Linked DNA regions of Drosophila melanogaster. The protein of the gene in region 1 purifies or fractionates together with the protein of each later gene. This does not show direct contact. Each region holds a gene or a part of one and is shown in the gene's direction. Other genes may lie near its edges.

Region 1 (3,613 bases):
TAGAATTGTGAAAGTATACTCAGCCTCGCGGCAAGTGGATTCAGGCATCTTGACCCGCATCGATGCGGATCTAATCGACGGGTCGGAGGAGCAGCACCGCTGTATCGTGGATATCTGGACAAAGGTCTGGGTGAGGAAGGATGAGCACGAAATCACCTTTAAGTGCCGCAACCAGCCGGTGGTCCAGGCCCGACACACGCGATCCGTGGAGTGGGCCGAGAAGAAGACGCACAAGAAGCACAGCCATCGCTTTGACAAGGTGGACCACCTCTTCTACAAGTTCCAGGTGCGATTTGGCCGTCGCTACGTAAGCACCGCCGAGCGCCAGATGCGCCTGCGCATTTTCCGTCAGAACCTGAAGACTATCGAGGAGCTAAACGCCAACGAGATGGGCAGCGCCAAGTACGGCATCACGGAGTTTGCTGATATGACCAGCTCGGAATACAAGGAACGCACGGGACTCTGGCAGCGTGATGAGGCAAAGGCCACTGGCGGATCGGCGGCTGTCGTACCGGCTTACCATGGTGAACTGCCGAAGGAGTTTGACTGGAGGCAGAAGGATGCTGTCACCCAGGTGAAGAATCAGGGATCCTGCGGTTCATGCTGGGCCTTCAGTGTGACCGGCAACATCGAAGGCCTGTACGCAGTGAAAACGGGCGAATTGAAAGAGTTCTCCGAACAGGAGCTGCTGGACTGTGATACCACGGATAGTGCCTGCAACGGCGGCCTCATGGACAATGCTTACAAGTAAGTTACGAGGGAATGAACATTACGATGTAGATACTTATGTAATAATTCCTCCGCAGGGCCATTAAGGATATTGGCGGCCTAGAGTACGAGGCTGAGTACCCATACAAGGCCAAAAAGAATCAGTGCCACTTCAACAGGACTTTGTCCCACGTTCAGGTTGCCGGCTTCGTGGATCTGCCGAAGGGAAATGAGACCGCCATGCAGGAGTGGCTTCTCGCCAATGGTCCCATTTCGATCGGTAAGTCGATGCAGAAAATTAACCCCAAAGCCCACTTAACCAGATCATTTCTCTAGGCATCAATGCGAATGCTATGCAGTTCTATCGCGGCGGAGTTTCCCATCCGTGGAAGGCCCTGTGCTCCAAGAAAAACCTCGACCACGGTGTTCTAGTTGTGGGGTATGGCGTCTCCGACTATCCCAATTTCCACAAGACCTTGCCCTACTGGATTGTGAAGAACTCGTGGGGTCCGCGCTGGGGAGAGCAGGGCTATTATCGCGTTTATCGTGGTGACAACACTTGCGGCGTCAGCGAAATGGCCACTTCGGCTGTGCTGGCCTAGACTTGCTTTGAGTCCAATTATATACAAGCATACGACTATATCTAGGTTAATAATTTAGCCAGTAACTTTGTGTACAATTAATTCTGTTTCCATGTTCTTCAACCGTCACGATAAGGAGTCGTTGAGTTTCAAAGCTTCGCCTATATAGTATAATCATTTCAGACATCTGTAATCTCACGAAAAAGTCTGCATCCACATATTCCGCTTTAATTGAAAATAACAATAAATTGTACAAGAATTAAAACCTGGTTGGGTTTATTATTGAATCCATGACAGCTCTGGCCGCAGCAACAGTTGGTCAAGATTGATGGTTGGTTGGATCAAGAAAAATGTTGAATTTATGTGAGATGTATTCAAATTATTCGATTAAAATGGTTTGATTAAATATGGGTGCCAGAGTATTATTGGCTGTTAAGAAATATTTATAACTGCTTCAATTACTGGAACATTTGACCCAGTGATTTTGATGATTGATTTTCAAACACTTTGTCAGTGTGTAGAAGTGCAATATGTTAATTAGATTTAGACCAGGGCCGTCGCACCGTGGGAAGCCATAGAAAATGAGTGTTTCTGGTGCAGAACCAGCCAGCTCAGTAGCAGCTTGAAGCGCATCGCGGGCGGTAGCGGAGCAATGGCCATGGACGACTACGATGATGACAGTAAGTGAACACAGACAAAAGGATGCAGATACAAAATTGCGTAAAAATCATTACCCAGTGAGCAGCGTGGGCGTGACCACGGCCCGAATCGAGAACCAGCACCAACAGCACCCCCACCAGCAGGGTCAGCATGGACACCACCAACAGGGCCAGGGTCAAAGCCAGTACAGCGCAGGGGCGGTCAAAGTGGGCGGATGGCGATACGAGGACGCCAGTCGCTACATCGGCGAGTGGAACCAGCGTGGCCAAAAGCACGGCATCGGGCATCTGCAGTTCGCCGATGGCACCCGCTACGATGGGCAGTTCCAGGAGGGTCTTAGTCAAGGAGTGGGCTGCCTCTGGTTCGCGGATGGAGCAAAGTCAGTTTCAATAATATTAGTGATGTAAACCTAAACGAAATATTGTAGCACTTGAAAACTATTCTTGTAGCCACTACTCGGGGAGTAAGAGGAAATGCTAGTATATATATTCTTGATCAGAAATGGTTTAGCTATAATTTACCTAGGGTTTGCATCCAGTGAAGAAAATTGTATATGATGATTCATTTTGCACATTTTTAAGACAGATACGAAGGCGAGTTTCATCAGGGCTGGTTTCATGGTAATGGGATCTTCTGGAGAGCCGATGGAATGAAGTACGAGGGCGAGTTTCGAGGCGGCAAGATCTGGGGCCTGGGATTGCTGACGTTCCAGGACTTCACGCACGGCTTTCCCAGAAACGAGGGATTCTTTCAAGACTGCCGCTTTATGAGACGACGTCGATGTCCCGAGGTGGTGCAGCGTGCACAAAAGTGCGCTCTTATGGCCCGTTCCCAGTGCGAACACCCATACTGAACAGACACTTCAGATTGGTTACCAGTTGGTATTGATAAACACGTACAGTTTAAAAATACAAATTTTAGTAACCGACTGTAAGAGTCTCAAGTCATAAAACAGAAAAAGGTGCCTTTAAGAAAAGAAATAAGCATTTCTTTCTTAACATCTTAAACTTTAATACATTTGCGCATAAACGTTCGTAAATGTATCTAAGTAATATAAAATGCATACAATTTCGCGTTTACTTTATAATTTTGCTTTTTCCAAATTCTTTATCAAAAATTCTTCAACGCACCCTAATAAAAACAACAAGAAAATTATGAAGAATTTGTGCGTGTGCTTATTGGATTATAATATTAACAAGAACGGAGTTGTTTCTCTGCTAATTCGGACTAGGCGCACCGACCAGGTACCACGCATTCCTGGCCTTCACCGCTGTGTTCCGCACCAGACGCTTGGGATCATCCAAGGCGGCGGCCAGGGCCAGAGTAACATCGACTTTGTGGGGCAACAGGACGAAGGTAGGATACTTTGTCACATCGTAGAGCAGCTGCAGCGCCGCAATTCGCACTTGCTATAAGAAAGAAAATGAGTTTAAGTTTTGTGTTCGACATTTTCCTTTACAAGTTAAGAAACCTCCTCAATTAACTATCAAATCTTTATAATAATATGTGCATGTTTAACTTACCATGGTATGCTGAGCCTTGTATTTCGACAGCTCCAGACAGCTGGGTATGAGGTGGGCCAAATGCCCTTGGAAATACGTGTCCTGCTGCGCCACAAACTTTTCACAGATGCCCAATGCAATGCACAGCGACTGCGCCTCGTT
Region 2 (7,991 bases), on another chromosome or scaffold:
AGACATCGCTGTTCTACTATCAGCGCTCGCCCAACTTTTGTGAGCGCGATCTGGGAGCTGATATACAGGGTGAGTTAATGTTCGTACTATAACATTTTCATTTTCCAATTATTATACTCACTCAATATTCAGCTTAAACATCTTATCAGTTTAACGTCCTACCCACATAACCATTACTTAATAAGTTAATTTACAATTTTGTCGTTAGAAAATGCGTTGCAACTAATTAAAAATGATTTACCGATACGAAGCGAGCGATAAATTTGATTTGGCTCTAATAAATAAATCTCAAATGCAAATGAACAACGCCAGCAACCGCAAATGCAGCAAAAATGTATTTTTCTTTTTTTTTTTTTTGGTTTGTGTTTTAAACGGGCTACCAAACCTGCCACATAATTTACGAAAAAAATGCGACAGCGACGCATGCGCACAGCAGCTCAGCTTAGCTTAGCTCAGTTTGGATCGGATCGGATTGGATTGGTTCGGATCAGCTCAACTCAGTTTGGATTGTATAAAGCAGTGGCGGAGACTGAAAATCTGAGGGGGGTTCTTATTTGACATTCTTAAAATAAAGGTTTTTGATATGTTATCTAAACTACAATTGGCCGAAACATACTAAAAGAAAATCGTTACTTTTTATGCTTGGAAATGAGTTTGGGTTAATTGTATCCCCTCATTTCTCCCCCCTTGCTTGTACTCTGGCTTGGGGGATCGGTCGAAACTGCGGCACGTTCACATCGAAATCGACGTCTAACTGCCACTTGCAATTTTCGTTAGCCATTTTGCTGTTGACACATTTGCAAATTATCAAGCGTCGCTGCTGCCCCGCCAACTGCCAGCAGTTTAAAAGTGTTAATTACGACGCAAATTTATAATTAATCGTCGGCTTAGCCCGGTAACTCCAGCTTCACTTCAAGCTCCAACTCAGGCTCCAACAGCAGTGAACTGGGGAGCAGCCAGCCCATCGGGCGTTTTGATTCATGTGTCCGTGTCCGGTGTCGTGTCTATTCAAATGATAGCAATTAACGCTGGCAATTATCGTCGGCCAAACAATTATGATACTTTGTTTGTGCTTTAGTTTAATAGTTTATTTATGGTCTTTTAATTGCTTGTCCGCCAGTAGGCGGGATTAACTGCCATTTGGCGATGGATTGCATTTGATGAGAACACTTAATCATTTGCTAATTACGCAAATCTTACACCACTAATTTTATTAACTTGTTATTTTTATATTTTAATAGATACCACATAATTTTCTTTTCTGATGATTATATCTTTAGAAAAACATAAACATGACTAATCTGAGCCAATTTCCGCACAGGCACCGTGGGACGCAAGTGCAATCGGAACACCACGACCAGCGACGGATGCACCTCCCTCTGCTGTGGCCGTGGCCACAGCCAGGTCATCCAGCGGAGGGCGGAGCGGTGTCACTGTAAATTCCAATGGTGCTGTAATGTGGAGTGCGAGGAGTGCCACGTAGAGGAATGGATTAGCATATGCAATTAAGGACAATGGACGCAAGACGAAGGACGATGAAGTGATGGAGCGATGGAGCCTCAGCCACATGCATAAGAAAAGACTTTTCTTCATTCTCACAGAACTTAACACACAAAGAAATCAGTATTACAGAAAAAAAAACATAAAGTACGCAATAGGGCAAACATCAATAAACAACGTGTGTGAATGCAATGCCTAGTTTAGCAATCTCCAGCCATTTGGAATACGTATAAATATATTTTGTAAATACGAACAATAAGATGCATAATTAGTCTGTCAATCAGCTGACTTTCACTCGCATTGCCAATTTCCCTTTCACCTCGGCATTTTGGCCATCTGTGTCGCCGCTTTTTTCACTTGCACGTGAATGTCGCCGCCGCTAATTGAATTAGCCAGCTAAATAGTTGTCCAAGGTGTGCACCCAGGTACTGCCCATTGAATGGCTTCCTTCCTTGCCAGTGAAAAGCCTCCGATTGCATTGGCCCATCATTTAGTTGGCTAACGGCAGCGGTACGTGCTGCATGCGTGCGGTCGGTTCGAAGTTCCACACAAGTACATCCTTGCAACCAAAAATACACAGCTGCAGGATAAGTGTGCCAATCTGCGGCAGCGAAGGTGTGTCCTGAAGGATTAAGTGTTTGAAGCCCTGTGAAGTGGATATAATACAAATAACCCCCTAGAATCCCTTTATCCAAAGTTGCTGATTCAAAATACAAACCTAGGAAGGATTAATTACCAAGGATAAATCGTACATTTAACTTTTTCGTTTTCACATGAATTATTTAAGTGTTTTATAGAAAATGGTTTTATTATAATTTTACATTTCAAAATTGCATCTTATTTGTTTAAAGGTCCTTGAAATCTTTCGTGCTTGCAAAGCAAACATTCCAAAATATCCTTACGTTAAGTAAACCAAAGTAACTTAACTTTCACCTTTAAAGAAAAAGCAAATTGTTATTAGAAGCAAAAGATTACAATGAAACCTCTAGAATGCCCATTCTTAAGTGTTTTGCAACAATGAACCCAAATATAATGCGATTTGCATGAGGGAAAATTGAAAAAGAAAACCTTTGAAGCCCATTTTATGATAGACCCAATTCCCAAGTTTAACCCACATGTTCTTCGAATATTCAGAATAAGCATCTAAGTCATGATGTATTTACCGTACGCGCAATTGCCGGATCCTACGGATAAATTCGAGATCTACGAGGAGATAGCCCAAGGCGTCAATGCCAAGGTTTTTCGGGCCAAGGAGCTCGACAATGATCGGATCGTTGCCCTGAAGATTCAGCACTACGATGAGGAGCACCAGGTTTCCATCGAGGAGGAGTATCGCACTCTGCGGGACTACTGCGACCATCCCAATCTTCCCGAGTTCTATGGCGTCTACAAGCTGTCGAAGCCAAACGGACCTGATGAGATCTGGTTTGTCATGGAGGTGAGTCAAAACATTTTGTTAATATTTTATTAAATTTTTTCCAAAAATTTAAATCCAATTTTTTGTAATTTATATAAACCATTTGAATATTTCAGTACTGCGCTGGGGGAACAGCAGTGGACATGGTTAACAAGCTTTTGAAACTGGATCGTCGAATGCGAGAGGAGCACATCGCCTACATTATCCGGGAGACTTGCCGTGCTGCCATCGAGCTGAACCGTAATCATGTCCTGCATCGGGACATTCGGGGAGATAACATATTGTTGACCAAAAATGGACGGGTCAAGCTGTGCGATTTCGGTTTATCCCGTCAGGTGGATTCCACTCTGGGCAAGAGGGGCACCTGCATTGGATCTCCCTGCTGGATGGCTCCCGAAGTGGTGTCCGCCATGGAATCCCGCGAACCGGACATCACCGTTCGTGCCGATGTCTGGGCCTTGGGAATCACTACCATTGAGTTGGCCGATGGAAAGCCACCGTTCGCTGACATGCATCCCACTAGGGCCATGTTCCAGATCATTCGCAATCCACCGCCGACCTTAATGCGACCCACTAATTGGTCGCAGCAGATCAATGATTTTATATCCGAGAGTTTGGAGAAAAATGCCGAAAATCGGCCCATGATGGTTGAGATGGTGGAGCATCCATTCCTCACGGAGCTCATCGAAAACGAGGACGAGATGCGATCGGACATCGCAGAAATGTTGGAACTCTCTAGGGATGTAAAGACTTTGTACAAGGAGCCGGAATTGTTCGTGGACCGCGGCTATGTGAAGAGGTTCGATGAGAAGCCGGAAAAGATGTATCCGGAGGACTTGGCTGCCTTGGAAAATCCCGTGGATGAAAACATAATCGAGTCACTGCGTCATCGCATTTTGATGGGGGAATCGTACAGTTTCATTGGCGATATCCTTTTATCCTTGAATTCCAATGAAATCAAGCAGGAATTTCCGCAGGAGGTAAGTTGAAAACATCTAATATGTATACTTAAATATGTTATATTTATCCTTTCTCTAGTTCCATGCCAAGTATCGCTTCAAGTCGCGTTCGGAAAACCAGCCGCATATTTTCTCGGTGGCCGATATCGCCTACCAGGATATGCTGCATCATAAGGAGCCGCAACACATCGTGCTCTCCGGAGAGAGCTACTCGGGCAAGTCCACAAATGCCCGGCTGCTAATCAAGCATCTGTGCTACTTGGGTGATGGAAATCGTGGGGCCACCGGGCGCGTGGAGAGCTCCATCAAGGCCATCCTGATGTTGGTGAATGCAGGAACTCCGGTAAACAACGACTCCACAAGATGTGTCCTACAATATTGCTTGACCTTTGGAAAAACCGGCAAAATGAGTGGGGCCGTTTTTAATATGTATATGCTGGAGAAACTACGAGTGGCCACTACGGACGGAACCCAGCACAACTTCCACATCTTCTACTACTTCTACGACTTTATTAATCAGCAAAATCAGCTTAAGGAGTACAATCTGAAGGCTGATCGCAATTATCGTTATCTGCGAGTTCCGCCAGAGGTTCCGCCATCGAAACTCAAGTATCGTCGTGATGATCCCGAGGGCAATGTGGAGAGGTACAGGGAGTTCGAGAACATCCTGCGGGACATTGATTTCAATCACAAGCAATTGGAGACCGTTCGCAAAGTTTTGGCTGCCATTTTGAACATTGGCAACATCCGTTTCCGGCAGAACGGAAAGTATGCGGAAGTGGAGAACACGGACATTGTGTCCCGGATCGCCGAGCTCCTCCGTGTGGATGAGAAAAAGTTCATGTGGTCTCTGACCAACTTCATTATGGTCAAGGGCGGGATCGCCGAGAGGCGACAGTACACCACTGAAGAAGCTAGGGATGCACGCGATGCGGTGGCCAGCACGCTCTACTCTCGATTGGTGGACTTTATCATCAACAGGATTAACATGAACATGTCCTTCCCACGGGCTGTGTTGTAAGTAATATTAAAAAAAAAGTTACAAATTCATAAGTTTAACAATGTGGCTTAAATAACTTTTTAAGCGGAGACACAAATGCCATCATTATTCACGACATGTTTGGATTTGAGTGCTTTAATCGAAATGGTCTGGAGCAACTAATGATCAATACTCTAAACGAGCAAATGCAATATCACTACAATCAACGTATTTTTATCAGCGAAATGCTGGAAATGGAAGCTGAAGACATTGACACCATCAACTTGAATTTCTATGACAACAAGACAGCTCTGGATAATCTGCTAACCAAACCGGATGGCCTGTTCTACATCATTGACGATGCCTCACGCTCCTGTCAAGATCAGGATTTGATTATGGGTATACAACCAATTCTGGCACCACTTTGGATATGTGATTTAACCACTTTCCATCTACAGATCGCGTTTCGGAGAAGCACAGCCAGTTTGTGAAGAAGCACACTGCCACTGAAATATCCGTGGCTCATTACACGGGCCGCATCATCTATGATACGCGCGCCTTCACCGACATCAACCGGGACTTTGTGCCGCCGGAAATGATCGAGACCTTCCGCTCCTCGCTGGATGAGAGCATCATGCTCATGTTCACCAATCAACTGACCAAGGCTGGCAATCTCACCATGCCATTCGAGGCAGTGCAGCATAAGGATGAATCTGAACGGAAGTCATATGTAAGTCTGTCACAGTTTTTATTAGCTAACCTAAATTTGGTATATTTTTGTAAACTATGCATTTCAGGCCTTGAATACCCTAAGTGCCGGATGCATCTCCCAAGTGAACAATCTACGTACCCTGGCGGCCAACTTCCGCTTCACCTGCCTGACCCTGCTCAAAATGCTAAGCCAGAATGCAAATCTCGGCGTGCACTTCGTTCGCTGCATTCGCGCTGATCTGGAGTACAAGCCCAGATCCTTCCACTCGGATGTCGTCCAGCAACAGATGAAGGCCTTGGGAGTTCTGGACACTGTTATTGCTCGCCAGAAGGGATTCAGCTCGCGTCTGCCATTCGACGAGTTCCTAAGGCGGTGGGTAATCGATTCCATTCCAGTTTCCATTTAAAGATTTCTAAATATTTAAAATATTCGTATTAGATACCAATTCCTTGCCTTTGACTTTGATGAGCCCGTGGAAATGACCAAGGATAACTGTCGTCTATTATTCTTGCGCCTCAAGATGGAAGGCTGGGCCTTGGGCAAGACCAAGGTGTTTTTGCGCTACTATAACGATGAGTTCTTAGCCAGGTGAGCTATCAATTCATACGCATTGAGAAAAGCAAGTACTATCAATTGCTTTCAGATTGTATGAGCTGCAGGTGAAGAAGGTCATCAAAGTGCAGTCCATGATGCGAGCTTTGCTAGCACGGAAACGAGTTAAGGGCGGCAAAGTTTTCAAATGTAAGATATAAATAATACTTATACAGTATATGGTATGAAATCTAATTTTAAATTCCCTATTAGTGGGCAAAAAGGGACCGGAGCATCATGATGTGGCCGCGTCCAAAATACAAAAAGGTAAAAAAACGCAGGTGGATAGGCTAAGAGAGTACGACGAGGAGCACATCGACATAAGCGAGACGCCCTCGGAGGCGGAGGAGATGTTCCTCGAGGCCAGAATGGATGAGGCTCTGGCAGCGGTGCGAATAGCCAAAATCGAGCAGGCCTCCGCCGAGGAATAGGCCCCTACTATATACCATTTATACACACTATATCACTATATCGATCGATACTAATCGTAATACGACTACCAATAAAATGTAGAAAACGCAAACAACCAGCTATCATCTAGTCTAGGGCCTCGGCAAACCACTTAAGCCGCTTAGTGGTGTCCAATGTGGATACCATCCCACCCCATCCCGCTGGGCGGTTGTGTTCTCCATCTGATGCAACCAATCGGCTTATAGCTGTCTGAGACATAACACTTAACATCGACGGCCCCTGCGAAAAGAGATGAATTATAAGTGCTGCGTAGAAAAGAAATGAAAATTTAATTAAATTAAGGTGACTTCCCTCTCATTCACCACCACCGTCCACCGCCGCGACCGCTTTTCAAATGGGTTACTCTAACGGCCTTCCTCCGTTTCCATTTTCCCACAGCCTTCAGGGGATTCCGCGACCGCGTCCGCCTCCCTCCGCTGGTCAACGAGAAGTCCGGCCAACTAAACGAGAACACCGCCGACTTTATCCGTCCGTTTGCCAAGAAATGGCGCGAGAAGTCTATCTTCCAGGTCCTCCTGCACTACCGCGCGGCTCGCTTCCAGGACTTTGTCAATCTCTCACAGCAGGTGAGTTCAAATCTCTTATCTTCAAATCCAATATATATATATATATATATTATATTATGTACCAGGTCCACATCTACAACCAACGAATGGTGGCTGGCTTGAATAAATGTACTCGGGCTGTGCCCTTCGAGAGGATCAATATGCGCGAAGTGAACTCCTCGCAGCTAGGACCACTGCCAGTGCCCATAAAAAAGATGCCATTCCGCCTGGATCAGATACCCTTCTATGACACCCAGTATATGGTGGACCCGGCCAATTCCATTTCCCGCCAAGCCTTCCCCAATCAGCTACTAACGCAGCACATGGAGGACGATGAGCCTTGGGACAGCCCTCTGCAACGCAATCCTTCGATGACTTCTTGTGCCCTGACCTACAATGCCTATAAGAAGGAGCAGGCTTGCCAGACCAACTGGGATCGCATGGGCGAGAGCGACAATATCTACAATCAGGGCTACTTCCGAGATCCCCAACAGCTGAGGAGGTTAGCAAAGATACTCAAAGGTTGAACTTAAGTTTCTAACACTTTTTTTCAGAAATCAAATGCAGATGAACATGAATGCCTATAACAATGCCTACAACAGCTATAACAGCAACTATAACAACCAGAACTGGGGCGTACATCGATCCGGATCCAGGCGCAACTCCTTGAAGGGCTATGCGGCGCCTCCACCTCCTCCTCCACCAATGCCCTCATCCAACTATTATCGCAATAATCCGAACCAGCAGCAACGCAACTATCAGCAAAGATCCTCGTATCCTCCGTCGGATCCAGTTAGAGAACTTCAGAACATGGCTC

Evidence for each region. Proteins that work in one complex are often made in the same cells at the same time.
Region 2: the proteins of rtp (region 1) and ninaC purify together in Drosophila melanogaster (affinity purification with western blotting; one study listed by BioGRID). This does not show direct contact.

Annotation. Positions count from the first base shown.
Region 1 is NT_033777.3:5,235,588-5,239,200, reverse strand, and holds rtp (retinophilin), read left to right. Parts: upstream 1-1,885; 5' UTR 1,886-1,941; coding exon 1,942-1,969; intron 1,970-2,027; coding exon 2,028-2,328; intron 2,329-2,534; coding exon 2,535-2,802; 3' UTR 2,803-3,109; downstream 3,110-3,613. Other genes in the region: CtsF (cathepsin F), read left to right, coding at 4-747, 807-988, 1,045-1,310; Mms19, read right to left, coding at 3,167-3,358, 3,473-3,613. UniProt on the Drosophila melanogaster protein: Plays a role in promoting axonal degeneration following neuronal injury by toxic insult or trauma.
Region 2 is NT_033779.5:7,375,751-7,383,741, forward strand, and holds the start of ninaC (neither inactivation nor afterpotential C), read left to right. Parts: upstream 1-1,951; 5' UTR 1,952-2,115; intron 2,116-2,634; 5' UTR 2,635-2,650; coding exon 2,651-2,938; intron 2,939-3,033; coding exon 3,034-3,897; intron 3,898-3,955; coding exon 3,956-4,893; intron 4,894-4,961; coding exon 4,962-5,254; intron 5,255-5,313; coding exon 5,314-5,585; intron 5,586-5,652; coding exon 5,653-5,939; intron 5,940-6,005; coding exon 6,006-6,155; intron 6,156-6,210; coding exon 6,211-6,308; intron 6,309-6,371; coding exon 6,372-6,425; coding exon of another isoform or gene 6,426-6,589; exon of another isoform or gene 6,590-7,007; coding exon 7,008-7,195; intron 7,196-7,260; coding exon 7,261-7,676; intron 7,677-7,728; coding exon 7,729-7,991. Other genes in the region: Wnt10 (Wnt oncogene analog 10), read left to right, coding at 1-69, 1,322-1,509. UniProt on the Drosophila melanogaster protein: Required for photoreceptor cell function. The ninaC proteins combines putative serine/threonine-protein kinase and myosin activities. Essential for the expression and stability of the rtp protein in the photoreceptors.